Linked DNA regions of Lonchura striata. The main gene of each other region encodes a partner of the protein of the gene in region 2 in a complex. Links are inferred from orthologs where the notes say so. Each region holds a gene or a part of one and is shown on either strand. Other genes may lie near its edges.

Evidence for each region.
Region 1: MED26 (region 2) and MED13L share a complex: the UniProt entries of both Homo sapiens proteins name them as parts of the mediator complex. The link is inferred for Lonchura striata from reciprocal best matches to the Homo sapiens genes MED26 and MED13L.
Region 3: MED26 (region 2) and MED4 share a complex: the UniProt entries of both Homo sapiens proteins name them as parts of the mediator complex. The link is inferred for Lonchura striata from reciprocal best matches to the Homo sapiens genes MED26 and MED4.
Region 4: MED26 (region 2) and MED7 share a complex: the UniProt entries of both Homo sapiens proteins name them as parts of the mediator complex. The link is inferred for Lonchura striata from reciprocal best matches to the Homo sapiens genes MED26 and MED7.

What each region holds. Positions count from the first base shown.
Region 1 is NC_134620.1:6,577,165-6,584,577, forward strand, and holds the start of MED13L (mediator of RNA polymerase II transcription subunit 13-like), read right to left. Parts: upstream 3,045-7,413; 5' UTR 2,988-3,044; coding exon 2,916-2,987; intron 1-2,915. UniProt on the Homo sapiens protein: Component of the Mediator complex, a coactivator involved in the regulated transcription of nearly all RNA polymerase II-dependent genes.
Region 2 is NC_134630.1:3,979,207-3,986,796, reverse strand, and holds the start of MED26 (mediator of RNA polymerase II transcription subunit 26), read right to left. Parts: upstream 3,034-7,590; 5' UTR 2,997-3,033; coding exon 2,922-2,996; intron 1-2,921. Other genes in the region: SMIM7 (small integral membrane protein 7), read right to left, coding at 6,015-6,030, 6,435-6,525, 7,121-7,173, 7,258-7,299. UniProt on the Homo sapiens protein: Component of the Mediator complex, a coactivator involved in the regulated transcription of nearly all RNA polymerase II-dependent genes.
Region 3 is NC_134604.1:61,907,982-61,915,519, reverse strand, and holds the start of MED4 (mediator of RNA polymerase II transcription subunit 4), read left to right. Parts: upstream 1-4,171; coding exon 4,172-4,290; intron 4,291-6,462; coding exon 6,463-6,529; intron 6,530-6,881; coding exon 6,882-7,052; intron 7,053-7,420; coding exon 7,421-7,478; intron 7,479-7,538. UniProt on the Homo sapiens protein: Component of the Mediator complex, a coactivator involved in the regulated transcription of nearly all RNA polymerase II-dependent genes.
Region 4 is NC_134617.1:4,516,772-4,524,160, forward strand, and holds MED7 (mediator of RNA polymerase II transcription subunit 7), read left to right. Parts: upstream 1-4,705; 5' UTR 4,706-4,760; intron 4,761-5,730; 5' UTR 5,731-5,748; coding exon 5,749-6,441; 3' UTR 6,442-6,695; downstream 6,696-7,389. UniProt on the Homo sapiens protein: Component of the Mediator complex, a coactivator involved in the regulated transcription of nearly all RNA polymerase II-dependent genes.

The DNA.
Region 1 (7,413 bases), on a different chromosome or scaffold from region 2:
CAGAGCGTCGCTGGATCCCCGCGCTGCCGGAGAACACCACACACACTTGGTGCTGCCAAGCGCTGCAATCCAGAGGAACATCCCATGGAACCCAGCTCTGCCAGCCCAGCACCATCCCCAGCACCTGCACTGTCAAAGGAAACTTTAAAACCTCCACTTCAGACCATGCCCTCCCCTCAGGTGACACATTCAGAGCCCAGACCACTGAAGGCTTCCACTTGCTGGACATCACTGATAAAAGAGAATCGGTAACTAAAAGAAAACACTTCCCATCAAAAGATTCAGAAGCAGCAAAGGCTCCTAACCTCTCTAGCATGTCTACAGCTGACAGAAAAATGGCAATCATGAATCATTAAACAAACCCAAATCCACCACAGCAACCAGACACAGCTGACACAGAGCTCTGGCTTCTCCAGGGCAAGGAGACAGCATTCCTGCTTCCACAGAACAAATGTATGTGGCAAGAAATATTATTTAACCATGAACAAACAGTATCACGATAGACTACAATTATTTCAGAACTGTAATTCTCCACTCACGAACATTACTTCGTGATTCACACACAAAACAAAGCCTGCAGTTGAAAAACCCCCAACTTCTAATAGCAGAATCAATTTTCAAAACATTTGTAATCTACCTCACTGTTAAAGAATGAATGGATTCCCAACAGTTAGTCGTTTAGATTTTGTTCTGTTACACTGAAAAAGTAAATTATTAGCAAAAGTTTCTCTAACTACTAATCCACACTACTGTAGCTTTAACACTTCATAAATTTTGAAATGAATATGACAATCTGAGGTTAAAGGGTCAGTGGTGCTGGCTACATATTTTCAGTTAGTGTTTCCATTTTCAATATCTTTCTCTGCTACATAAATCCCAAAAAACACTAACACAATATTAAATAAATCTTCCTAATAGTTTTCACATAGGTTGTATTTTAAAAACACTACTACTTTATTCCTTTTTTTTTTTTTTTTTTTTTTTTGTAGAGCCACAATACAATAAAAACAGTTTCATACACAGGACCACATTAAGGCACAGATACCTCCCACAAAATTACATGGGAGATTAAAGGGCTGCACATTAAACTCATTATTAAAGCCAATTGCAAAAGAATTTCGTTTAACTTATTTCAGTGATATTACACACCCATTTAAAATTGAACATTTCCCTAGCCTAGTCAGGTGGGAGAAAAAAAGCAACCAAACCACAATAACTATGAAATAGCTTCACTTTATAATTTATGCTAATTGCATGCCAACAATTATTTTTACCAGTGACAGATTTGCAGATTGCAACTGCAGGAGAAGTTCCGCCTCTCCAAACACACACTCAAGTCTGCATTAATGAACGGGGACTTCACAACTCTGTGAGGAGCAAATCCTCCATTGCCTCCCTTCTACAATCAGATACGATTGTTCCCTTCATGCTTCCCGATTTATTTTCCTCCCCGGCTAAGAGCAGCTTAGTCAAAATCACCAGAACAATCCCCCAAATCACCTTTCCTGCATCTCCATACACAGAGCACTACTACGTATTTATAAATATTACTATATGCCTTCAAACAGAAGCACGGATACAAACTTACATAACGTAACAGTTCAATAAAAAGCCAGAGTAAGAAATGTATAATTCTTACAGAACAAGCTCGTGGAGCAGTTTTCTAGCAGTGGAAGACTACAGTTCTTGTTGCAGATTCTTAAGAGGTACAAGCAAAATATAGTATGTACATATACATATGCAGATTAAAAAAAAACCAAAGTCTGAGACAAAATAACAAATATACTACAATAACGTTTAAAAGCATAAAACAAAGAGCTTGATCATTTGCGTTTCTAAGTAATTTCCTTTTTTTTCTCTCTCCTTATTTTCATAAGGGAGCTAAAAACAATCTCTTCCGTTCCATCAGAAGAAGAACATATGCACCCACCTCCAATTCTGGCAGAGCTCTGCTGCGGGGAGGGGGCACTCACCACAACCCTTTCACACATGCTACCCCCAAAGTTGCATCACAAGGTTTTAACTCCACTACACCACGCACCGAACAAGTCCCTCCTCCCCTCCGACATTATCCCTGTAGCACTGGAAGGCTCCCGATGATCCAGCAGCCCTCTCACTCACTCAGCTGTTGCCCAGCCAGAAGGGATAATGTTCCTGTGCATGCCAGGTAAAATAAAGCAAAGTATTTCCGAATGACTCTGCCATTACACACAAATTGTTTTCGTATTCTAAATTTAAATTGCCGATCTATAAGCCAGCCAAAACTGCTACCATGATTCCTGCAACATTAAACCACGCAATCCACGTCGGAAGTTCCCAGTGAGATGGGCAGACAGCATCTATGCAAACAATCCGGCACACTACTGTCAGCCGCTGTTGTTCTTCACAGAAGAAAAAATTAAAAGGTTTGGCTTTTTTTTTTTTTTTTTAACCTCTTGCCCCCGAGCACGATGTGTGCAAAGAGGTGAGCAGGCTGTAACAGCAGCTGACACGCCGTCACAGGAGCCCGGAGCTAAGTCCGACAGCCGATCACACTACATGAGCGTTCGCTGCTGCTGAAATGGCGTTTGTCATTGTGAGAGGAGAGAAAACCCCCCGGTTCGGTGGCACAAAGCGCACAGGGCACGGAGTGCCAAGGGAGGCGGGGAGAGGAGCCTGTTTACCCAGGGAAGATGGTCGTGCAAGGGACACAGAGCCTTCCCCTCCCCGCTCTCCAGCTGCGAGCGCGATACACGGACCCGCAGCAAACCACGCTAAAGAGCAAAATAAACACGGGGACCGGGCCGGGGGAGGGGCCAGCGCAGGAGCAGCCCCGGGCCCTGCCTATAAACCCCCGGCAGCTGCTCCCGACCGGCAAACCCGGCGCGGAGCCACCCTCGGGCGCCCACCCGCCCACCGCCCGCTCACTCACTCACCAGCGAGAAGAGGTTGGAGTGACAGTCCTCCAGGCTGGCCCCGTTCGCCACCCAGTTCGCTGCCGCAGTCATGATCCTCGGCGAGCCGGGCCGCCACGGCGGGGCATGTCTGGGGGGACGGCCGGGGGGCGAGGGGCAAGGCGGGCGGCCCCCGGGGCGACCCCCGTCACTGCCCGGGGCGGCCGCCGCGCTCCGGCCCCTCGGCCCCGCGGGGCCCCGCGGCCGGGAGGGGACGCGCCGAGGCCGGGGCGGGCGCGCTGCTCCTCGCTACCCGCCCCCGCGCCGATAATCCTCGAGCCGGGAGGCCCTTCTCCGGTGCAGGCGGGGGGGACGCGTCCCCCGCTCCTCCAGGCCGGGAGAAGAAGAGGAGGAAGGGGGGGCCCGGGGCCGCCCTTCCGCGTCCAGGTGCGGCCCCCCCCGGTCGGGGGTCGCGCGGAGGGCGGCGGGTCCGTGCGGGACGCGGGGCGGGCGAGGCGAGGGGGGGGCCCGGTCCCGGCCCCGTGCGGAGGCGTCGGCGGGCGGGGGGCGCTGTGTCCCCTCCCCGCCCCGCCCGGCCGCCCCTCGCTGCTGCCGCCGCTGGCTGTGCGTGGATGGTGTTTTCCTCCTCCCGCTCCTGCTGCCGGCGCCGCCGCCTCGTCGGCGCTGCCCACGGGGTGGCGGCGGTGCGGGCGCGGCCCGGCCCGGGCAGGGAGCGCTGTCCGCCCGCGCTGTGCCGGCCGTGCCCGCAGCGGCCGCAGCTCCGCGCCCGCTCTGCCTCCTGCGCTCTGACAGCAATGGCGCCCGGGCCCGCACCGCGCCGCGCCATTGGTCCGCGCCGCACCACGTGATGCGGACACGGGGGCGGAGCCCCGGCGCCGGGGCGCCTCCCGCCGCCGCTGCGCTGCGCCCGCCGCCCGCTGGGGGCGCTCGGGAGCGGCGCGGCCGTGGGGGGTCCCGGGCGCGGGTCCCGACCCTCGGAGCGGGAGCGCAGACAGACAGACAGACAGGGATGGCGGACGGACAGACAGACAGCGGCCAGGCAGTACGGACAGACAGTCAGACAGACAGGGAGTACGGACAGACAGACAGACAGGGATGGCGGACGGACAGACAGACAGGGAGTACGGACGGACAGACAGACAGACAGGGATGGCGGACGGACAGACTGACAGCGGCCAGGCAGTACGGACAGACAGACAGACAGACAGCGGCCAGGCAGTACGGACGGACAGACAACGGCCAGGGAGTACGGACAGACAGACAGACAGGGATGGCGGACGGACAGACAGACAGCGGCCAGGGAGTACGGACGGACAGACAGACAGGGATGGCGGACGGACAGACAGACAGCGGCCAGGGAGTACGGACAGACAGACAGACAGACAGGGATGGCGGACGGACAGACAGACAGCGGCCAGGGAGTACGGACGGACAGACAGCGGACAGGGAGCGCGGACAGACAGACAGACAGACAGCGGACAGGGAGTACGGACAGACAGACAGACAGGGATGGCGGACGGACAGACTGACAGCGGACAGGGAGTACGGACGGACAGACAGCGGACAGGGAGCGCGGACAGACAGACAGACAGGGATGGCGGACAGACAGACAGACAGCGGACAGGGAGTACGGACGTACAGACAGACAGACAGACAAGGAGCGCGGACAGACAGCGGCCAGGGAGAGCAGACAGACAGACAGGGAGCGCGGACAGACAGCCAGCGGCCAGGGAGAGCAGACAGACGGGGATGGTGGACAGACAGACAGCAAGCGGCCCGGCATCGCGGACGGACAGCGGCCCGGGAGCCGGCGGGGCTGTGCCGGGGAGGGGAGGCTGGCAGCAGCGCCAGGCTCTCCCCGCAGAGGTGGTCGGGCACTGAACGGGCTCCCCGGGGACCCCTTCAAAGTCACAAAGTACCGCAGGACATAAGAAAGCCAGTGTCTTACTGGAAAAGGTGAAACAGAGTTTCACGTGGTGATGCTGCAAGTTTACTAAGGGGCTTTTTTCTTTTTTCCCTAAATAAATAAAGAACAGGATAAGGAAAACTACCATTTACTGCCTCTGAACCAGGCAGAATTCCCTTATTAACCATTGAGGAAAAGCAGAAGGAATAAACATGCTACCCAGACATTTGGGAAAGGTTTTCTTTTTCTTCAGGCACTGCCCAGGCTCCCCAGGCAGCAGGCACAGCCCCAGGTTGCCAGAGTTCCAGGTACAGTCGGACAACGCTCTCAGGAACGCACAGGATGGGACTTTGGGGTGGCCCTGGCAGAGCCAGGAGCTGGGCTGGATGATCCTGGTGGGTCCCTTCCACCTCGGGATGTTCTGTGGCACGGGAACTGTATCCCATCCGTGGAGTCGCTCAGGATGCCAGTCACGGGGGAATCATGATCCCGAGCATTCCACGTTTCACCGGAGGGTTTTCTCAGCACCTGAGAGTGCTCAAAGTAATTTTTAAAAGGCCTCAAAGCTCATTTGTGGTCACGCTCCCCTTCCTAGCTGAGTTTAACCCCACACTCTGCACAGCCCTCAAGTCACCCCGTGCTCATCTGAAATAGCTTTGAAGATGTTAGCTGGCATTATTTTTTTTAAAGGGAGTTGGAAAACACCTGAGTTAGATAACCAAATGAAATTCATTCCCAAAATAATCATGGTCTGGAGAAGAGCCACAGATTTTTATTCTGAGTTGCAAGGGGCCCGCAAGGATCATGGAGTCCAACTCTTAAGTCAGTACTATGCAAGAAGAAGACACTTGGTTTAAAAGAGATAATTCATCACAAATAACGTTTTTACTGTTTGTAATGACCTGTTGATTTGAACCAGTGGGAGCAGAGAGTTTCTCCCTGCCTGAGTTTCTCCCTGACTGAAGAGTTCCACAGATGGTAGAAAGCAAATATTGTGCTTAACAATATTGAAGATATTGAGCATTTCAACTTAAGCTCTAATACAGAAATGCAGCACATTTTCAATGATGTAATTCAGTGGAAAAAGTTCTCACTCTGTACTCAGTGGCAGCTTTCCTTATCATGATTTTAATCTCATTTAAGTGTCTTTACTTTTTTGCAATTTACTTTTCTTGGCAATAAATTAAGATTAGCATCTCTTGCAATGGCTGACTGGAGTTTGTTTGGATTTACCTCATAGTAACAAATCTCTCCCACAAACAGGCATCACATTTACCTGAATTACGTACATAGAGTAAGAGACAGAATTTAAGCCAAACGAAAATTTCCACCCAGCTCAGAGTTCTTACTGTGTGTGTGTTTCCTCTGACAAATCCATCATCCATCAAATCCCTTCCCTGCCACACCGACCAGAAATTCTGACTTGCAAAGACTGGACCTATACTGTGAAGAAAAATGTTTTCAAATACAAATTATTCACATTCAGTTACAATTGCAATGTATTCAGTCCAAGCGTCACAGCCTTGAAACTGCTTCTTACATCCTGGCACCCTCAATCAGGGAAGTACTTTGGCCCATGCTACTCCCCTTCCTTTTGGCACAAGTCTTATAAACAGAGAACACAATCTGACACTTGTAAATATGTCAAGCAATGTGTATTAACCAACCCCAAACCACATCCTTCCGCATTAAAATAGTACAGCTATTGTAACTCCACTGCAGCACCACGCACCCATCCTATCACTACAGGAGGCCCAGGGACAACAAACCATTTGATGAAGTATCCATCCTATTTCTGGAATAAAAGAACATCCATTACCATAAAAAAATATAATTTTCTTATTATATAAAAATTTTTGCAATTGTGAATGGTGATATTACTTATCCAGATAAATACTGTGCAGGGTTGGACATTGCAGAATTCCTGTTGCTTCCATATGCTGCTTAGCCTCCAAATGGTATTTCCAGTCAGCACCATTCCTCTTATCTCGATCTTTCAATTACTGGCGACTGATTTTGCTTTATTTTGTCAGGAAAATGTGGGATCTAACAGATTATTCAGGTCCATTTTTGTGAGGAGAAATGTTAACATACTCATACTGTGCTGCTTTGGCCACCTTCCAGTACTTTTATGAATGTTAAATACTTTATACATTAAAAATTGTGAAATCATAGAACGGCCTGGGGGGGGGGGGGGGGGGCCTTAAAGCCCATCCAGTGCCACCCTCTGTCATGGGCAGGGACACCTTCCACTACTTCCACTATCCCAGGCTACTCCCAGCCCCATCCAACCTTGCATTGGACACTGCCAGGGATGGGGCAGCCACAGCTTCTCTGGGCAACCTGTGCCAGGGTCTCCTCATCCTCACCATAAGCAATTTCCTCCTACCATCTAATCTAAATCTCCCCTCCTTTAGTTTTACTAAAAATCATGTAATGTAATTCAATTACCTGTTTTGTGGCAATGTTCTGAAGTTGAGTAGGTGGTTCTTGCATTTTGGAAATGGTACTGGCCACAGATCTTGACCATGGCCCTGCGCTGCCAAGTCCATTTTGGCTTTAAACTGAAAGACAGGTAACATTTCTTTTCAAGCACCCTTTGCTAGGTTCTTG
Region 2 (7,590 bases):
GAACAGAACTCCTGCTCTCCTCCACCTCCTGCTATGTTCTCACAGAAGCCTTGGAAGGAAAGTGATGCTGGTACTCAGTGCTTAGGTCATGGAGCAGAAGTGGTTTGCCCATATGTTTCCTGGAGGAGAAAAGGCTGAATAAATGAAGACACAATACCAGACATCCCGGGTGGCTTCTAGGATGATGTAAGTTCCTTTAAAAATAGCTTATTTCTTATAGGTCTCCTTTGAAATAGTTCAGAATTTACACAGGTAACCTCTAAATGTGAGAAACTAAGTTATAAATATATTCTGCAGCAATTACTAGAGGAGGTTCAAGTGCTAAACATGTGTAAATTCAATATTGCTCCCGAGTCAGCAGGGCTTTATGGAGCAGCTGGAGATGAACAATCAGCACACGAGATGATTTCCCGAGGCCAGCAGGTTCTGCAAGCTTGGGGAAACAATTATTTTGACCAGTTCAACCCAACAGAGGTAGAGAAACTTATGTCCTTTTTTTTTCCCCCCATTTAAGGCATGACCTGTGAGTCAACCATGATCCAAGTAACCACTCAAGAATAAATATCCACAATGGCAGATTGTGTTAGGGGATGTGTCAGGGAATTTAAGTGAAGCTTAAATTTACAGATCCTACAGTAAAGCACCATGAAGAACCAACCATCTCCTCCCTCCTCAGCCCCATAGAACTGGACTGGTTTTGTCCACCTGACACTACTGGTGCAGCTTTCAGCCTCTCCAGAAACACACACACTGAAAAGTCTGAATTAAATCTAGGCCTCAAAGCTTGACCTTCTTGGTAAATGAGGAAGTCAGTGACAACAATGTATGCTGTAGGTTTGAATACAAGTAGTTCTGTCAGGAGAAGATTCTAAGAGCCAGCAGAAAGTAGCTGGAGCTTTCCATGAGTCCCTGCAGGCACAGAAGCTCATTGCTGCACTGACTCTCCCAGCAGGAAAACAGCAGAGCAGCTTCTTGTACTTTCACCATGGTGTCCAAGTGTGATTAAACTCAAAATCTGTTTTTTAAGTGTGTTCAAAATGTAAGTTTTTCTTCCCTCTGTGCCAGTGATGTGCCAGGTAGTGAACAACCAACACCGCCACATATTCCATGTGCTTTGGAGCCACGAGTCTGAGTTCTCAGCCTGCACAATGAACCTCAGCTACACCACCTCTGCTCTCCTCCAAGAAAAGGTTAAACTGGAAGACAGACCCTGCCTACAGGCACTTTGGAACAATAGGCTGATTTTTCTGCCACCAATTATTGCCCTGGATAAGTATCAAGTATGTAGAATTAAAATTTAACATACATCACTCCTAAACTTAAGGGGCTACTGACCTGTTGGGAGCTCTGGCCTCCCCTTGCAGGGAGCTGCCTGGTTATTTGGAGTCCTCTCACAACAGCATCCTGAAACATCAGCATGTGGAGAAAGGGAAGAGTATCCAACACCAAATTGACTTTCTGGCTGTTTAGTTCTGCACAGCCACAGTGTCTGACAAAGTAACACCAGAATTAGGGTAACCACTGCAGCTGACAGTTCTGAAGTCAAAAGACACCACAGATCTGCTAGAATTTTATTAAAGTAGGTTGACACTCAGTCTCACGTAGAGTGAACAATCTGCAGCCACAGAGAGCTCAGTGCACACAGGATTCATGAAGTGTACTAACTGACATTTCAGCAAGATCCACGTTAAAGTACTGCAAACTCAGACAACCCTGACATTTAACAGCCCACAATTACCGCCACGATTGTTACTGTTACTCCAATGTGCAACACTGCAGCTCCCCACAGATGCCCAGCCCAGGGGGCTCTACAGAACCGACAAGGCCGGAGTGGTTTTTCTTCAGTCCCCATGACACAGGCTCCGGGAGGGTTCCAAATGACAATAACTTTATTAGCTACTTTAGGACTTTGATGCATGTCTATCACAAAAAAAGTACTTGTTCAGACAGGAGCAGGTACGACTTTAATAGAACCAAAGCACCATTTCACACACCCCAGCCCCTAAAATAACACGCACACATTCAGCCTGATGAGCCAGAGGCTGCTCCCACAAACTGCAGATGGCCAAGCCAGACCCACCTTGGCATCCTGTGGAGGTGAGTGTTGATCTAAGATTCAAAAATTGGACAGATTGAGGGCCCTGCAGTCCTCTCACAGTAATAAACACCTAAGCGGAGAACTGCTTGGATGAGCCAAAAAACCCTTAAAAGGAGCAAATGATCCTTTGGATAACCGCCACTTAAGGCCACTTACAGGTAAAATACACGCTGACTTCTGTGCTTACACCACATCCCAAGGAGCACATAAGCTCATTACGGCGCTGCAGGAAGGGATAAAAGCGAAGACCGAGGCTGCTCGGTGCTGGAGCAGCTCCAGAGCCCCGCAGCCACGGCCGGAGCCCTCCTGGCGTCCCCGCAGCCCGGGGTGCCGCCGGCCGCGGCCGGAGCGGCCGCAGGGCCCGAGGAACAGGTGGGCGCCCCGGAAGGTCCCGGCGAGCGGCGGCGGGGCCGGCCCAGAGCCCCCTGCAGGCCGCGCCCGAGCCGCGGCCTGGCGTGGGGAGGCGGCCGGGCCGCCCGCCGCATGGCCGGGCAGCACCGGCCGGGCCCGGGGCGCCGAGCGGCGGCGGGGCGGGGGCGGCCGCGGCGCCGGGCGGGCGGGGAGCGGCCCCCGGAGCCCCCAGCGGGGCGGCCCTGCGCTGCCGGCCCGGGGGGCGCGGGCGGGAGGCGCCGCCGGCTGCGGGACCCCGGGCGGACGGCGCGCCGGGAGCCCCGCGCCGCCGCCGGCAGCGGAGGCTCCGGTGCAGCCGGGGCGGCCCCGGAGGGAGCCCCGGAGGCCCCGGGAGGGGGAGAAGGGCGTCGCGGCGGGAGCGCCGGGCGGGGGTCGGCCCGGAGCGGCGGGGGCCCGCGGGGCCCGTACTCACGTTGCTCTGCGGGTCGATGGCCTGCAGCAGCCGGTCCCTGATCTGCTGCGGGGACGGGGCCGGAGCCGCTGTCATTGCCTGGGCGAAGCGGGGCGGCTGCGGCTGCGGCCGGGGCTGGCGGGCGGCGGGGCCGGGCCGGGCCGGGGCGGCGGCGGCGGCGGCTCCTCACTCGCCGGCGGCGGCGGCCTCGGGGAGCCGGAGGAGCATGTTCGCTCCCCGCCGGGCGGGGGCGGCGCGGGGGGCCGGGGGGAGCGGGCGAGCCCAGCGCTCCGCTCCGCTCCGCTCGGGCCGAACGCGGGGCGCGCTGGGGGCAGGGCCGGCGCCGCGCGCGGCTCCCTGGGACGCGCCCGACGCCGTGACGTGCGCGCGCCGCGCCCCGGCCCCCGCCCGCCCGCACCGCCGGGGGCGCGCACTGCGCCTGCGCGGGGGAGGGCGGGCGGCGGCGGGAGCGCGCGCGTGCGCGGTGGGGGAGCGGGGCGGGGCTGGGGCGCCGTGAGGGGGGAAGAGGGGGACGCGGGGGAGAGGGGGAAACAGAGGCTGGTGAGGGGATATGGGGGCAGCCAACAGGGACCCCACGGGGGGCACGGAGACAGCGAACAGGGACCCCTGAGGGGACATGGGGGCAGCGAACAGGGACCCCTGAGGGGACATGGGGGCAGCGAACAGGAACCCCTGAGAGGACATGGGGACAGCGAACAGGGACCCCTGAGGGGACATGGGGGCAGCGAACAGGAACCCCTGAGAGGACATGGGCACAGCGAACAGGGACCCCTGAGGGGACATGGGCACAGCGAACAGGGACCCCTGAGAGGACACGGGGGGCACGGGGACAGCGAACAGGGATCCCTCAGGAGACACGGGGACAGCGACGATTCTGGGGGACATGGGGACAGCAAACAGACCCCTGAGGGGACACGGGGGACAGGGGGTAGCGGACAAGGATCCCTGAAGGGACAGGGGACATGGGGGCAGCGAACAGGAACCCCTGAGGGGACATGGGGGCAATGGGACAGCGAACAGGGACCCCTCAGGGGATACGGAGGCAGCGACGATTCTGGGGGACATGGGGACAGCAAACAGACCCCTGAGGGGACACGGGGGACATGGGGGCAGCGGACAAGGATCCCTGAGGGGACACGGGCGGCGCTGGGGGACATGGGGACAGCAAACGGGCCGCTGAGGGGACAACGGCGGTTCAGGGGGACACAGGGATAGCGGGAAGAAGCTGGAGGAGAGGGCGCCGAGGCGGGGAGCCGTGAGGGGAGAGCGGGGCAGTGTCGGCGGAGGGGCAGCGGGAGCCGGGTGGCCACTCCGGGACCCCCGCCCGGCCCCGGAGGAACCGAGCACCCTGCGGAGAGAAATAAATAATGGGAATAAATAACGGGAATAAACCCCCTGCGGGCACCACTCCGGGCAAGAAGGTGTGAGGGGTGTTCTGGTCCTCTCAGCAAAGCATCAGTGCAGCACTTAAAACTTCTCACAGCATTTAAGAGCAGCTGAAATTTGACTCCTGATTTCGTTGTTTTAAAGCAGCTGCTTCGAGGCTGAATCACAACTTTTGCACAGCTGGAGTCTTTTGGGGACAGCCCACTCTGGAGCCACACGGTGTGTGCAGGGTGATAAAACTACATTCCTTTAGCAGTGGAACTCCCTGTGATCATAGTTACCATTTTTCTGAGGAAGAATAAAAACCCCCCTAGCTCAAAGCTGAACCCAGGGGTGTCCAATAGGTCACACACACAGTGATGCCACATCCACCCGTCCCTTAAAATTTGGTTTAATTAAGATTAAGCACTAAATGTTTTCCAAGAATTATATTGGTTCAATATAATTGATACAATACAATAATGGTATTGTATTTGGCAGTATACTTTTTTGTCTCATTCTGAAGAGTTAGAAAAGGGTTAAAATATACTGAAATTACAGACAATATGTTTAAATCTAACCAAAGGTTGTACATATTTCTGGATTGCTCAAACCACATTTGAAGGAGCCTGTCTGTACATTTTTCTGGGTTCATTACAGTGGCCATCAAATGACCCTTCCCCTGTCATGTTTCATTAATGTGAAAACTTCAGTTCAACCAAGAGGGCAACTCAAGTAAAATGCTGCAGGTGTCCAACACTTGCATCTCACTACCAAATAAAATTCCAAATACTCCCTAAAACCTGTGCCAGGGCATCATTTAAATCAGGTCTCTTTCTCCTCAACATCTAAAGAAACTGAAGCTGTGGAAGCCCCACTAACAGTTTACAGTTTGATTTAAATGATACTCAGCGCTGCACTCTCTTAAATTAATGATCTTGGCGATTCCAGGGAAAAGCTGTTGGTCAGAGAGGCTAACTTATAAATAACACAAGACTCCAGGCAGATGACAGGAATAGTTACAATTTCCCAAAATACACCAATACAGAATCAATTTCTCATGTAACAGAATGAACATGGCATCAAATATATACTTTACCCTTAAATAGAGCAACTTTATTCAACCAAATCCAAGATTATTCCAAAATTATCTCTTAACATTTGCTTAGAGAATTATTTTTGCCATTTTTCCCCATTCAAAATCCTTTACATATTGCTTAGGAAAAAAAAATTATTTTAAGTATTATTTTACAAAGCATTTTTTTTCTGGAAAAATAGGGAAATAGGTAGAAGGTGAGAATGGCATTTTTTTTTCTTGAATATTCCTTTTCTACGCCTCCAAAGAAATGAATGGAATAGTGAGAAGTTACAAGAACACTCTGCTCAACTTTTACACAAAACTGAGAACTCAGGAGTGTGACTTGGACAGACGGGGGTAACTCGAGCTGGCACAGACCCAGTTTGGACTGGCAAAGCAGAGGTTTAAAACTGGCTCCAGTTCTCCCCTGCTCTCACTCTGAGCTTAGGAAACCAAGTCAAAATTCCCTTTCAGTGAAGTTGAGATCATTTGTGTGAAGGTTGTGGCTCCAAGCCCCCGCAGAGCAGGAACCTGGAGGGGACGAGCGTGTCCCACAGGCCCAGGGCTGCAGCTGGAGAGCAGCAGAATATTTTACTCCTAGAAAAGTTTGTTCCCAGCCAAAAGTCTCTTCTAATATCCATGGGTGGCTTTCAAGATCCAAATAACCTGGGGGATGCAAAAAAAAAGTAAGATGAGAAACAGCCACACCTGTGCAAGGCTGATTTATCCGATTTATTTACTTGGTGGGTTTCCACCCCACCCCAAAATGAAAAACATCCCCAAATTTAAACCCAGGTGATGTTTGATTTGAGCAACCCCCAACAAACAACACTCTGCCTGAGGCTGAATGACTCAGGTGCTGGCACAGGTGGTTTTCATGCACTACAGGTGCCCACATTAGCAAAAAAAGGTGAGATCAACCCGTATTTGAAAACTGAAATAAAGAAGTGAAGTGAAAAAGAATTATGGAAAAATCAAATGGGAGAGACAGATGTGACAAGAGTGCAAGAAAAGTGCCAATATATGACTTCCTGTAACCAAGTGAGAAGATGCTGCACAGGGTTACTCACACAATCATGCAGAACATCATGAAGATATTCCACAAGGCAATGAAGATTCGAAAATACCTGAGACTCAGCAAGAACTCTCTGATATTGTCGCCTAGAAATCAAGAGGAGAAGCTTTTGATATGAAAAACACAACTGACAAGTCAGATTTTCAGCGCTGCCTGAAAATCACAAGCAACTCTGAGAGGGGAAAAAGAAACATTAAAAAAAACACAACAAAAAGTTCAGACTGAAATTTGAGGTTGTAGGTGAAGGATGGATGCTCTGTTCAGTGCAACTCTGTAAGGATACATGGCAAAATGACCAAAAAATTATAAAAAGGGGTCACGCTGCTAAAAAGGGAGGAGCAAAAAAGGTGTTCTGGGATTTTTAACCAGCAAACAGATACAAGGGAGCAACACAGATGGATCCACGTGGAAATGGCAATAGGGGAATGAGCAGAGCATCACCTCTATAGCACAGGCACCTACAGGTCTAAAATGCTGAAAGAAATGTGCTTTTTGTGTGTTTCTTCTCATTTTAGTTTACAAGTTAATACACCAGTTATTCCAGCCCCACAGCAATTCACATCCAACAAAAAGGGGTGGAAAAACTCCAGTTTGGCCAAGGATTTCCTCCAGAAAAGCCCGTTCTGTGCGTGTCCTGGCCCAGGGCAGGGCTGTGCCCGGCTCCCGCATCCCCTCCGTTACCGGTGGTGGGTTCCCTCTGCTCCTCTCCGAATCCCTCCGTGTCCCTCCTCCTCCTGCGGGGCAGAGGGATCGTGTCAGGCAGGTGAACTCCCAAAAAACCCTCCCCGTTCCTCCGCCCGCCCTCCCGGTTCGCTCACAGCCTGAAGTTGAGCACGGCACCGGCGTTCACCAGCAGCGTCCTGCGGGAGAAAGGGAAGGAGGTCGGGGATGGAGAGGGGCAAGGGGAGGGGATGGGGATAGAGGGACGGGGGGAAACGGTCGGGGAAGGGGAATGAGGATGGAGAAGAGGGGATTGGGGACGGTGGAAGGGGAATGAGGAAAGGGGAAAGGGAAGAAGGAAACAAGCACAGGAAGAGAGAGAGGGAAGTGAGGACGGGGAAGCAGGTAGGGAGAGGGAACGGGGATGGAGAAGGGGAAAAGGGTCGGGGATGGTGAAAGACGTCGGGAAAGAGGGATGGGGAACGGGACAG
Region 3 (7,538 bases), on a different chromosome or scaffold from region 2:
GCTCAAGATATTTGATTTCTATTTTAGTTGATTTTTGACAGAAAGGATTTTATTTTTACATTATTTAGGGGAAGTAGAAATGAGTAACTGTTCTGTCCCTTTTCCTTTTTGCTCTCCTTGTGTATCCTCCTGCCTTTATATTTTTAGTGATTGCAATGCTTTATTACACATGGTCCTGAGAACCTTCAGGTATTACGTATCTTCTGTAGTCTGTATTTTCCTTATTATTTTAAGGTGTGGTAAACTTAGCTGTTGCAAACTGAACACCTGATGTCTAGTGTCTGGAATGTATAAATTAGAAGACAGCTGAAAAGCACTGTAGCCCAGAAAAAATACAGATTTTAACTGAAGCACACACCTGCTTTGGGTTTCTTAGGCAAGATTCGCTACAGCTCAGCTTCTACATTCTAAAGTGATTTTCTAGTTCATAGGAAAAAAAACCAAAAAAAAACCAAACAAAGTAGGAATACCTAGAGTGAAGGAATCACAGTATTATGTTGGAAGAAAATGCTTTGCACTAGAGGAATCCTAGGTCTGAATAGCACTGAATTATGAATAAAAGAAGGGAAGATCTCACTTTTCAGCACTAGCCCACAGTCCCATGAAATTAGTTGCAACTCAAGCCACACTCTGAAGGCATGGTTCCATATGATGAGGTTAGAGTTCACTATCTAAAACAGAAGGAAATGAACATCCTCTTCCAAATTAAATATTCTTCAGTCTGGTTATTGAGTTGAAGTGGCTCATGGCCCATATGGCAAACACCAAGAAGGAGCTAAGGGTGGGTGAAAATCTGCAGTTGGGACATGAGAAGTTAGCAGCATCTCAGGTTCTTGCCCTTGGTGAACTATTAGATCAGATCAGATGCTCCTAGATCTATCTAGAGGAATCAGTTTGCTCTGCTGATCATCACTTCAAGGCCCATTCTGGAAGAGAAAAGACTCAACTGAACAAGATAAAATAAGCTATTTTTGCTTATGCTAGAAGGTTCTTAACAATACATTCAGTATGCCATTGAACAGACAATTTGAAATTAAAGAGCTCTGAAATGTTTAATAAACTCACTGTGCAAATATCCATGTATGACTACACAAACTAAAATGTTCTCAGTCTACTGGAAAAATTCAGGAACAATGCTTAGTTATTCAGGAGGAACCAAAGAAGCAGATCTGGCTCAAAACCAACAAAACTATGAAAAAAGTTTACCCAGGGGAAAGTAGGCAAAAAGCACTGAAGAACTGAGGTAACAGAGGAACCAACACTGGGGGAACAGAGGCTCTGTTGTTTTTATAGGGAAATATTTCAGAAGTCTATTCAGCAAAGTATTCACTCAGTCTTTAAGTAATCAGTCCATGGGGGGCACGAGTTTGGGGCATGAGCCCATTTCACCCAGCCTTTCCCTTTGTTCTGAAGGAGATGACCCCTATGACATGGTTTGAATTACTTTCTATGTCTTGGCACAGACAGGCATTCCCTGATACCTCTGGTCTCACCCTGTCCTCCCACACAGAGGCACGAACACAGTTAAGTCTCTGCCTATTCCACTGCATTCCCCAGACATGGCTATGCAGCCATGGGCAGTAGAGAGCAGACAGTTGTCCATGTTGCCTGGAAGAGGAATAGAAATTTGAGAAGTAGGTTGGCTGCTCCAGGGAAAGATGGGTGGTATTGGCCTGGTTGGGTGGAAGTAGTACTGCTGTGAAGAGGAAGGGAGGGAACAAGCTCCCAGGCAAAAGGAGAATGAAAGATCAGGCTACAGAAATCACCTATAATCAATATTCACACCTGTCAACTCTGGGTGTCCTATTAATGCTGCAAGCTTTTAGCTCAAGTGAAACCAACATTATTGCCCTGAAATACAGCACTCAAGTCTAAATAATCCAGATGTCAAAATGAGTATGAGGAAGAAAATGATTTAGTGGAAGGACTGCTTTGTTTTTGATGTCACTATTTCTTTCTATTTATGCACCCATACAGACACTAACGAATCAGTGAACTGGATGCACAACCAGACACTATCACTGATTACATCTTTCCCTGAACAAAAGCAAGGAAATAGAGAAGGGAAAAAAAAGCAAGCAAAAGTTATTTAAAAGGCAGAACTATTTAATGAGATTTTATCTGCTATGCAGTTTAAACAGAATTCCCAAACTATTTGCAATCAGAATGTTGAGGGTTGTTGGGCATTGCAAAGGAATTTTAAATAACTCCTGTTAGCAAAGTCTTTTTTCTCAGAGTTGCCAAATCTCATTGCTTTATCAAAAATCTCATAATGTTGAATTGCTTATTTAAATCACAATCCAAAGAATTACTGACTAATGAGTTTCTTGCCTTTTTTTCTTCTTTAAATAAATGTAAATTTCTCAGGAATACACTTTTTGCAGAAGGTAACAGATAATCAGAGTAAATACCAGCAGTCAGAGAAGTTATTGTTCCTGTAGGCCTTTTTCTAATCAGGGGAGAAGAAAATAGCTGTTTACTGGCAGCTGCCTGCTGACAGCAGAAGGACACAGGGTCTGGGGCTCCCTGTTGTTCTATGGTAGTGCTTGCCCTAGTTAATAAACCCTGGCCCCAGATAAGCTCTTACTCTGTACTCCCTCATCTTCCCTCCAGCCTGGCCTCACAGGGTCTTTCCACATTACTGAAGCTTTCATGAATATAAAAAAATTCCACTGGCTACACTGTGACTCCACCCAGAAGGAGCAGCCCGTTTCACCACCCCATAGAGCGCAGCATTAAAAAACCCCCACAACATAGCAGTACCTTTTAATTCCAACTCAACTGCTGGCAGGGCTGGGTGCAGGATTTGAGCCTATTATTGTGTTCAGATTCTGCCCCCAGCAGGCAATTGTGCCCTGACCATTGTGTGTAGAGGTCCGTGGTGGACACCAAGCTACCTTCATGGACACACACGTGTGCACGGGCAGTGTCAGGAGGACAGTGATGCCTCTAGTCATGTAAGGGACAGCCAGCCCAGGTAAAACCCTGGTCTTGGTCTGATTTGAAGTTCAGGTTTTTGATATGCTTTCAGTATCATGCACTTAACCTTCCTCAGTTGCCAGTAAAACACCAGATATATAAATGTCTAAAGGAGACGTGTCAGGATGGAGCCTGGTGCTTCTCAGTGGTGTCAAGCAATAGGACAAGAGGCAATGGGCAGAAACGGATGCACAGGAAGCTTCATCTGAACATGAAGAACTTATTTACTGTGTGGGTGACCATTCACTGGAACAGATTGCTTAGAGAGATTGTGGAGTCTCCCTCACTGGAGATAGCAAGAACCCTCTGGATGCAATCCTGTGCAGTGTGCTCTAAGACAACCCGGCTTGAGCAGGGAGGTTGGACCAGATGACCCTCTGTGGTCCCAACCTGACCCTTTCTGTGATTCTGTGATTTTATCCTCCATCTGATCAAAGACACCTGAGGGATTTTTGGACACCAAGACTCTCAAAAATTGAGTTAAAGCCCCTGAAGATGTAATACAGTTGCACACACTTCACCTGCAGCCTGTTTTCTGTATCCTTAGCATATATCAGTGTCATCTGGAGGCTCTTTGTGGGGGCCCGGGGACTCCACAAATGCATTCCAGTTGGAATGGTTGTAGCCAGGTGGGGACAGACCTCTCCTCCCCAACAACTAGCAACAGGAAGACGAGAGGTCACCGTCTGCAGCTGCACCAGGCAAGGTTTAAGTTGAACATCGGGAAGATTTTCTTCACCGAAAGGGTGATTACGCATTGGAATGGGCTGCCCAGGGAGGTGGTGGAGTCACCATCCCTGGAGGTGCTTAAGGAAAGACTGGACGTGGCCCTTAGCGTCGCGGTCTAGCTGACACGACGCTGTTGAGACTCCGTAATCTCAGAGGTCTTTTCCAACCTAAATGATCCTATGATTGCAAGAGCAACAAGCACAGATGCTCGAGGAGCGACCTGGCCTCAAGGCAGGCCGCAGAGGCGACCCGCTTTCCCTCACGCCCCCAGCCCGCGGGGACGCGCCCCGAACCCCCGCTGCGCTCCGCCCCGCCAGCCGGCGGGAAGGGATCCGCCCCTCCGCCCCGCGCATGCGCGCCCGCCTCGCGGCTGCCGCTCGCCCCTGCGCCGCCGGGGGCGCTGCCGCGCGCCCGCGCGCGCCTCCCGGGGGCGGTTCCCGCTGGGGTCCGCGCCGGGACGGCGATGGCGGCGGCGGCGGCGGGAGCCGGGGCCGGGGCAGCGGCGGGCGCGGGGGGCGGGGAGCGGAGCAGCACCCGGGACCGGCTCCTGGCGGCGCTGGAGGATCTCGAGCTCTTGGCCAGGTACCGCGCTCGGGCCCCGTCGGCCCCGGGTGGCGGCGGGGCACCGGGGGCGGGGTGAGGGCTGCCGGCGGGGCGCGGGCGCGGAGCCGGGGTTGGCGGGCGGAGCGGAGCGGCGGCCCCGGAGGTTGGGATGGGATGGGAGGGGAGGGGCCCGGCGCCACTGCGGCGCTGGCCCGACCCGGCTGGTACGCGTTTTCCTGCTCTGGCCCTCCTCGGGCCGGCCCTGCCGGAGAGGGGCTGGTGCTGCGCCGGGGCTCGGCCCGGCCCTGCGCAGCGCTTCCCGGCGCTCATCCCGCTGGAAAGCATCGGTCGTTTGCAGAGAGAAGGTGTAGCTTCCTTTTTCTCCCACTTGCCTTTCTCCCTTGGCTGACACCTCTGCTTCCTGTGAAGTGCACACTCACACGCCGATTTTAGGCATTTTATTAGTCACTAAAAATATGCTTAAGTCAGAAATACGTAGATGGTGTGGCATGACATCACCTGTTCAGGTCATTGCCTGTATTAGTGCCACATTCACTCCAAGTAGGCTGCAGCGCTTGTCTTCAGAGTGATAGAAATGCTCAGATACTTAATCCAGGGTCTTTAGTCCAGGCTGGTAATCCTCATCCAAATTGTCAACCATGTCGTGGAGGCACAGCTGGCAGTGAAGTTCAGATAGTTCCTAATTATTTTCCACACCTCAAGGAGAGCAGGAATTTAGGAAAACATTTTCAGTGGGAATACCTGTACTATCCATGTGGCTTGCTCACTGAATGAGTTCCAAGACTAGGATATGCTATTGGTGAGTTGCTCTCCTTGTGGCAGGTTAAGTTTTATCCTGTGTCACAGATTTTATTGAGACATAAGGGTTGCTGAAGAGCATATGTTTATTGAAAAATGAAAACAAGCTTATTCTTTATGTATATTGCTAATATTTTTTAATGCTGGAACTAGTGTTCTACCACAATGAAGCCAGAGCAATTCTCAGCAAAATTTAGTGAATCTTCCTGTTGATCAGCTAAGTGTTGCAGCACCCTGGGGCTAGGCTTTTCTCAGTTTCAATACTGGTTTGGTGGTAGGGACAAAAATTAAGCCATATGTCTAATCTGTAGCCTTTCTATAGTTTTGAATCTATGTCTGTGCATTACCTGGCTGACACAGGGTAGAATTACAGCACTAGTTGACATCACCTTTGATGGTGGTAGGTGACCTACTTAAAATGGATTTTATTTGCTACTGCTCAGCGTTGGTCAGGTAGAATAAAGCTTTAGTAACAGTGACAATTTTCTTTATTGTCTAATTGTTTAAAATCATAGTAGTGTTCAGGAGTGACCAAGAGATATAGACCAAGATCAGAGTTTTACTGGGGATTTTTTTAGACATTTCTGGCCCCAGTGCTATATTACACACACACCCCACTATGCTGCTTACACTGGACCAAGCAAAGAGTCAGTACTTCCAAGGGCAGTGTCTCCAGATGACAGTTACTTGTGCTTAGGGTTGAATTGCCATTCATAGCCTTAGAAGCCAAATGACTTTGCTGAATTTACAGAAAATGCCTTTTTGCATCATGGTACCCAGAGTTCTTGCTGGCTTTCTGAACACAGGCAGAGTATCTGGATATCTGGAAGAGTGATCAAGAGGTCTGTTTGAGAAGCACTTCTAGCCTAGCAACAGAGTATTACCAGGGTTCTTTTATATTTTTTTGTGTGCTTGATGCATAGCTAATATACCATTGTGGGAATATTTGTTGTAAAAGCAGTTCCATAACAGACTCTGTTGGTATTTGAAAGTGTAGACTTAATTGCTCTAAATTACAAGTATATTGGAGAAAAAGTGGAAAAAAGTAGAGAAGTAAAACAGTGAAGACCCTCTTGCAACAAAGAAAGCTAGTAGAAGAAGGATCTGAGTGCACTCCATTATGCTGTTTCTTCTCTCAGGTTCTGTTTATGTCTTTTATGGTTTAACAGGAACTTAGCACATTTCTTGTTCAAATACATGAGGGTTTCATGAGCTCAAATAACAAAAAAATATTCTTTCTTGGTTGAAAAGTCCCTGCCCACACTGTACTATAAAATATAAACTGCTCAGGTCCATGAATACTTTCATAATTATACCAGTACTCTGGTAATTTTGGGATGACTTGATGTGAGAATGCTGTAGGAAATTGTGCAAACGGAGTTCTCCTTTCAGGGAACTAATTGAAATTTTGGCAATTTCAAGAAACCAAAAGCTTCCACAACCAGGAGAGGAGAGCCAGGTAAGCTGCCTTTCTGAATTGCATTTCTTTGGGTAAGCATAATGCTTTGCTTCTAATTTTTTTCCATTTTTTTTCTTTGTCCTTACTTTCTCCTTTTGTCCTTGCCTATATTCAAGTTAATGGTCATGGTGGGGCTTTGGCCCTGCTACAGAGGCATTATTGGTTCTCCTGCAGTTTATTAATTTTTTATGTGCTTCATAGGGCGTTTCTGCAAACAGGAAGAAATTTTCTTTCATTTTTCATTCAAGCAAAAATACTCCTATGGATGCCATTTGCTCTTCTTTGTAGCATGACTGAGAGTGTGTTGTTACTCTAGCCAAATTAAAAGTTCTACAAAACTGTTGTTCAATAGATCCTGGAACTGCTGATTCAGAGAGATGGAGAGTTTCAAGAGCTAATGAAGTTGGCAGTTGATCAGGGAAAAATCCATCATGAAATGCAGCTTTTAGAAAAGGTAGTAGAAAAGCGGGATAATGATATTCAGCAGCTGCAGAAACAGCTTAAAGAAGCAGAGCACATACTGGTAAGTTCATAATGATGTGTTTGCTTTTGAGCATCTTCTTGTAGAAAAGGCAGTTCTGGGCAAAGTGGTGTTGTGTTAGTTTGAGACGATTTAAATACTTAAAACTTCATAAGAGCTTAGTGGTTTGGGTTTTTTCTCAATAGTCAAACACTGTTTAGTTATCATGGTATTAAGGTTTTTTTTATAATGCTAATTTGCTTCTAAATCTACTTTATTTCTGTGTATTTTGAAAATGTTCATGGAAATTTCTCTTTTAAAATGCAATTAAATGGAAGGGTTTATTCACAAAGTTGACTTTATGTAGACGTTTATAAATTAAATATGTATTGAAGGTTTGGTTTGCTTTGTGGGTTTTTTTTTACAACTAGGCAACAGCTGTTTATCAAGCAAAGGAAAAACTGAAATCAATTGAAAAAGCACGAAAAGGTGAGTATCCATAATTATACATACTACATAAATGCAATTCTAAAGAAAGCTCAAATTTGG
Region 4 (7,389 bases), on a different chromosome or scaffold from region 2:
CTGCTCAATATGATGATTGTTGCTCAACTTCTAAACTTCCATTTTGCTACTTAGCTTGGAGTGCGAGAAACTCTCATTTAGGTTACTCAGCTGTCCTCTTCTTTAGCAGTTCATTGTCACCCCAATAAACATGGCTCCAGTAGACTCAAAGAACAAGACAGAAAGCTGCAGAAAAAGGGAAGAATTAGCTGGTCTTTATGAACCAGATGCATCCAGCTTTCCTTGAGGTTACAACTGCACCTTTGAATCCCCTCACACTGCTCCCAGTGACCCAGGGAGTTGTAGAAGCAGAGCAAGATCCTCCTGTGAACTGTTTGGGAGCCCTGAGAAATGGGATGCCTTGTTCTGAGCATCTGCTGGGAGGATGTAGTGAATTATCCATCATTCGTGAAGTGAATTATTCCCAGTATTGGCAGTAATATAGAGCACGTGTTTTATACTGGAGAAGCTGCACAGGGTTAGGTCCCTTCTTCTGTGATAAAGGGACAATTAATCCTTTCCTCAGCTGTTCTCTCTTAGGCAAAAATGCAGAAAGGAAAAACTCGTTTCATGGGAGCCATAGCCAAACTGGGATTTTGTTCCAGCTCCTTTTATTAGTGCCTGGCTATCATGGTTCCTGTCTGTTTCTGTCTCCCTCTGAAGACAAAGGTGGGACTTGCATTGCTGGCAAAACTTGCTGCAGATCCCAGGGTTTGCCCTGGCAATACAACACATTTGCTGTACCCAGGTCACTGTTTGCTGGACAGGAATTACTTCTTTGTGCCATGCAGATGCATTTTTTAAAGACATGTTAATTTACTTGTTTACATGTTTGTTTTAAAGACATGTTCATTTACATGTTTGAATAAACAGTTACAACAGGCATGTGAGCAAGAAAACACCCAGCATTAATGTCTGGCTCAAAAATCAGGTTGGGGGGCTGCTTCCTGAGACAATACTATGACTATGAACATAGGAAGGAGTGCTGGGTGATTCCATCAAAACATGCCTGGATTTTGAGCCCTATCAGTTTCCTAATTGTAGTGAGATACCTGGTTTATTGCTAAATAACCATGAAAGCTCTGTTTTGAGCTTTGAATCTGTTTGATAACAGGCCATAGAGCAAGAAACAGTTTAGCTGTCATGCACTGCTCTGTGTTGTGCCCCAGTTTTCACATGATGGGAACATTAAACTCCTACTTCAGCAGGCGTGCCAATAGGCTGCAGCTGATATTTTAGTCTGAGGAGTCAGGAAGAAAAGGTTGCACAGTACTGCACTGCAAATTCATTCACTCCCAAAGCCACAGCGGGAGGCAGGGAGATGGGAATTAACCACAGCAGATGGAGACATAAAGCTTGGTTAAGTCTCCTTCACCCCCAACAGGCTCCTTTTCTCTTGCCCTCCTCCCTGGTTTATCCTGCAACAAAGCCTGTAACAATCACCAAAAAAGGAAATTCCTGAGCTCATTGCTTAACCAGGCTACAAGATCTAACCCTAACCTACGCCCAAGAAGAGACTGGAACCGAGTTTGACTTTGGCGTTGTTTTTCAGACAACATGAGAAAAACACACACACATCTATTTATCTATTTATTTATTATTTAGAGTGCAATAGCAGCAAGAAATGAAAGAAATCTGTTGTAGCACAGAAGAGAGAAGCACTGTTCTAAGAGCATGCCTGAAAGTGGGGTTTATATTTACTGTGCTTGTACAATGTTTGGATTCCAGTTCTGCTAAAATAACAGCATACTGCAATGGCACACACTGTACACACTGCTGCTGAATTAACAGAAATGGAGTGCTTGCTACTGAAACATGCCAATTTGCATAAAATTAGTTATGAAGAAAATGAAAATAAACTTAACCAAAGCTATAAATTAAGATATTGAGTCTTTGAGGCAGAGAATATCATGGTACTTTTTCACCATCTGTTGAAGGGGTGTCGAAGTTCATTCCCACAAGCTGGAGATGATGTAGGAATTGTGCTTCATTACCAGTGCTAGGCTTGTACTGGATAGTGCCCTTATTTCAGAAAAGAGCTGGACTGGAGCAAGAAGCAAATTGCAGAGTGCTACACTTGAGATTCCCCGTCATTCTTAATTTCTCATTTAGAAGCACTGTAAGGAGAAGTGTCAGCTGCTCCCCGTGGGCTGGAAAGGGTCATCCATGGGTCTTCTGAGAAGCAGCCCTGCCACCAAGAGCAAGACTCATCGATGTTATATTCCCTCTGTCTTGGCCACCATCATACAGAAAATGCGTCAAGATCACAGAGATCGAGGGAAAAACAAGAGCATGGCTCTCTCTGCCTGCTCCTGTTTGAAGTCACAGCATTTTACATCCTTGCTGCATGGTTCACTGAGTGCAAGGCACTAGAGAATCAAGCTCAGCTCCTGTAAAAAGAATGTGAAATCAAAGTCTGGAAAGTCCAATGAAACCAAGGATGTGTTGGTACCTCCTACTACATGTGTTATCTCATGCATCTCTGGAGGCAATGATTTTTATTCCTTATCTTTCTTTCAGAGTATGATGTAACAAGATGATTTGAGACAAGATAAGAGATTTCTGTCACAGAAATGGAGAGGACAATTCCCCACCCCATGTTCCCAGCCTCCTCCTTTCCTTCTGCCTATGCACAGTCCCCTCTCAAAACCTCTCCCTGATGTTCACAGGGTACACAGCACAGCATGTTAATTCATTAGAAAAGCTGAAAACTTTACAAAAAAAAACCCTGCAGTAATGTTTTATGGGTTTGGAGCTGCATCAGTTTGCTTTGCAATCCAGTGCCTGATGGTGGTGGCACAAGCAATGACAAGAAAAGGGTGCACAGCCAGTGAGGGGCTGGAGGAGCAGGGAGGGAAGAAAGAAGAGAGGGAAGAAAGAAGCAGGAATAGAAGTGAAGGAATGAGATCACCTTTTCCAAAGGAAAAACGTTTTAGTTGCAGCATGGAACTGCATCCTTGTCTGAATTCAGCAAATTGCTTACAAATGAAAACAAATCAGCGTATTTTTCAGCCAGGCTTTTACTCACTGTAAAGTGCAGTTCAGTTTGGAATATTTAAATATTCAACTCATTGTAAATTGTAAAGTGTAGCTTAATTTGCAATATATAAATATTCAGATATTCAGTACATCGTTTCAGGCTTTCTCATCAAATAAGTATAACGATTCTGGATCTTCTTTGCATGTTTTTAGGAATAATTAGCAGGATCCAAAGTAATTATCATTCAACTGAATTTTTTTTAGTAAAGAATCGATCTGGAAGAGTGAATCTGTAAGTGACACTGCGTGTGCGGTGATGGGTCCCTAACACCCAGGCCATTGCTGCCATCTGCTGAGGGAGAGAGAACGGCACAGAAACGGCCAAGTATCGAAAAAACCTTCCTTGCTGGCCATTTCAGGGAGAAAATCCCGCAGAAGCGATGCCAGCAAGCCCAGCTCCACCTGACCCGGTGAAAAACTTACATCCACCATGTTAACTTCAACTCCTCCTGGAAGAAAACGGAAAGAAAAGCAACGGAGCCCAACTGTTTGTCAGTTATGGTCAGATTTAGCGTTTTCTGCTGCCGGATGGCTGCAAACACTTCCCAGGGGGACCTCGGAGGTATTTTCCAACCGGATTGGTTCTGTGATTCCTGTGATTGTTCCGTAATGCTGTTGTCTCCCAGCAGCGGGGCCGCCCTGACGAGCGCTGTCCCCGCTGTCCCAGCTCCCGGGGCCGCCGGGCTGGTCCCTCCTGCCCCGGCGCTCCCGCTGCCTCACAGCGGCTGGTGGCGAGGGAGCCCGCTCCTGGGGCACGGGACACCGAGGGGAACAACGCCGAGGGACACAGGACACCGAGGGACACAGGACACCGAGGGACACAGGACACTGAGGGGAACAGGACACTGAGGGACACAGGACACTGAGGGGCACAGGACACTGAGGGGAACAGAACGCCGAGGGACACAGGACACTGAGGGATACAGGACACTGAGGGGCACAGAACGCTGAGGGGAACAGGACACTGAGGGGCACAGGACACCGAGGGGAACAGAACCTCTGAGGGGCACAGAACACTGAGGGGAACAGAACGCTGAGGAGCACAGAACGCTGAGGGGCACAGAACGCTGAGGGATACAGGACACTGAGGGGCACAGGACACCGAGGGACACAGGACACTGAGGGGAACAGGACACTGAGGGGCACAGGACACTGAGGGGAACAGGACACTGAGGGACACAGGACACCGAGGGGAAGAGAACGCCGAGGGGCACAGGACACTGAGGGGAACAGGACACTGAGGGGAACAGAACGCCGAGGGGCACAGGACACTGAGGGGAATAGGACACTGAGGGGAACAGAACGCCGAGGGGCACAGGACACTGAGGGACACAGGACACCGAGGGGCACAGGACACTGAGGAGCACAGGACACTGAGGGGTCACAGAACGCTGAGGGGTCACAGATCGCTGAGTGGTCACAGACCGCTAAGAGACCACAGACTGCTGAAGGGTCACAGAGCGCTGGGGAGGGTCACGGACCGCTGAGGGGGTCACAGACCTCTGAAAGGTACCCACCGCCCCAGGATGGGGCAACCCCCACCCCGCCATACCGGGAACCACGCCCCGCGCCTGGCCCCGCCCCCGAGCGAGCTGAGTGGAGGAGCGCCTGACTGCTCTGCGTCACAGCCAATCAGAGCGCGGCACCGCGAGGCCGCCAACCAATAGGGAGAGAGAGGAGAGGGCGGCCGGGCGGAAGCGGCTGCGGCGGCGCTGAGGGAGCGCGGCGGGCGGAGCGGGCAGGTGAGGGCGGGAGGGCCGGTGCGGCCTCCGCGGGGTCCGTGCGGCCTCCGCGGGGTCCGTGCGGCCTCCGAGGGGCCCGTGAGGCCTCCGAGGGGTCCGTGCCCTCCGAGGGGCCCGTGCCCTCCGCCGGGCCGTGGCTCCGGCTCTTGTTTCTTCAGCACTGACTTGGCGAGCCCCGCCGCGGGGTTTGGGCCTCCCCAAACTCCCTCCTCCGCAGGGCAGGGCGGCGGGTGTGGGCCCTGCCTGGTTTCTCTCGTGGGCGCGGGTGAAGAGGGGAGGCCGCACGAGGAGCGGCTGAGGTCACTCGGTCTGGCCAGCCCGGAGAAGGGCAGACTGAGGGGGGATCTCACCGCGGGCTGCAGCTTCCCCCCGAGGGGCAGCGCCTATCTTTGCCCTCTGAGGCCAGTGACAGGGCCCGAGGGAGCGGCTGGAGATGTGCCGGGAGAGGGTTACGTGGATATTAGGAAAAGGTTTTTCCTCCAGAAGGTAGTTGGGCACCGAACAGGTTGCCCAGGCTCTCCTTGGTCACAGCCCCAGGCCTAAAATACTTCAAGAAGCCTTTGGGAAATGCTGTCAGCCATGGGGGAGATTTTTGGGGTGTCCTGTGCAGGGCTTTTGCAGATCCTTGTGTATTACTTCCAGCTTGGGATATTCGGTGATTCTGGGGGGTTTGCCCACCAGGACCCATCTAGGGAAGGGGGTCACCCTTCTCCCTTTGGCTGCCTAGTTTACAGGCTGCTCTTTCATATTTAGAGAAATGAGTGTTTTGTGTGCTTCTAGTACTTGGTATAAGTAAATCTTAGTGAAAAGATAACGTGGATTTGCCAGGAGTTTCCTGTATTCTGCAAATGGATTTGTCTCTTCTTGCTCATTTTCTTACTGCCATCTCCCATATTTTGTCTTTTCTTACATTTATATTATAAACTTGTGACACAAATTGTTAACATTTGTTTCTTGGGTCATTCCCTAGAAATTTCATCTGGCAAAAATGGGTGAACCTCAGCAAGTGAGTGCCCTTCCTCCGCCTCCAATGCAATATATCAAAGAATACACTGATGAAAACATCCGTAAAGGCCTGGCTCCAAAGCCACCTCCTCCTGTGAAGGACAGCTACATGATGTTTGGCAACCAGTTCCAGTGTGATGATCTGATCATCCGGCCCCTGGAGAGCCAGGGGATCGAACGGCTGCATCCTATGCAGTTTGATCACAAGAAGGAGTTAAGGAAACTTAACATGTCTATCCTGGTCAACTTCCTGGACCTCTTGGACATCTTGATAAGGAGTCCAGGGAGTATAAAGCGAGAGGAGAAACTGGAAGACTTGAAACTGCTTTTTGTCCACGTGCATCACCTTATAAATGAGTACCGGCCTCACCAGGCCAGGGAGACGCTGAGGGTCATGATGGAGGTGCAGAAACGGCAGCGCCTGGAGACGGCCGAGCGCTTCCAGAAGCACCTGGAGCGAGTGGTGGAGATGATCCAGAACTGCCTGGCTTCCCTGCCCGATGATCTGCCTCACACAGAGGGGGGACTGAGAGTCAGCGTGGAGCCCATGGACACTGACGATGGCAGCAGCTGTGCTGGACAGAGCGAAAAACAGAGGGAGCGTTCTGGTGGCAAGAGAGATCAGGTTTTGGACAAAGATGCAGCAATGTGCAGCATTATTGATGAGATGACATGAAGCAAACAGCTGGTTTTGTTAATGCACCGCAGTGAGAGACAGAAGGGGTTCTGAGGATGCATTTTGTATTTTGTTTTGCTGTTGTACAAGCAGAAAGAGCAATTGTTGTGCACCTGTTGGAGGTTGTGGGTGACTGGGCAGATGAAAATGTTTAAAGTTTTGTGGTTTTTTGGTAAAAAATAAAAAGTCTAATTTTTGTTAAATGTAGCATGTGAGGTCGTAGGCACAGATTAAAGTTGGCTTTTCCTGTTGTACTTTCATTGTTTTGGGTATGCCATTCTATAATTCTTTATGCTGAGTCAAGAAGAAATTCCTACAAAAATGGTGTTTGTTTTTTGCACAAACAACACACAGGAACTTGGAAAACAGGCAGACAGAAACTCTGATTACACGAAAGCAATCCTTATGGTCTGTGTTTGAGGTGAAATCTAAAGCAAGTGGGTTAACTGGTGTCCTGTAGCTCTCACATCCTTTTATTGTGTGACCTGAATGGCTTTCCTGGGATCCTGGCAGAGACAGCCTGCCCTGCCTTTCCCATTTTTGCAGAGCAGTTTCAGGATCCTCCTGGTAATTATCAGAATTGTTCCTCTAGCAGCTGTCTGCAGTTTCCTCAGAAACCAGAGGAGCTGAGAGGAATCCTTTTCTTAAGGAGTTCTACTTCCAGCTGCTGCATGCAAAAATCACCTTCATCCGTCTATCACTTCTTTCCTACAAGTGTATTGCTAGTTTGTCTCTCAGACATTAATCCCTTGGTTTTCCTGATTTTCCCTTAAAACTGCTGTCAGTTTGGTGCCTCTCTTCTCCTATAAGGCAGTCATGCAAGGCAAGGTTCCAATTCTAACATCTTCCACTTGCTCATAAATAGCTCCTTAGTACTTCATTTCACTGTGAAGTAGTTTAGCTGCTTCAGCAAAGAGCATTTCTTGGCCCTTGATCACAGGTGCAGTT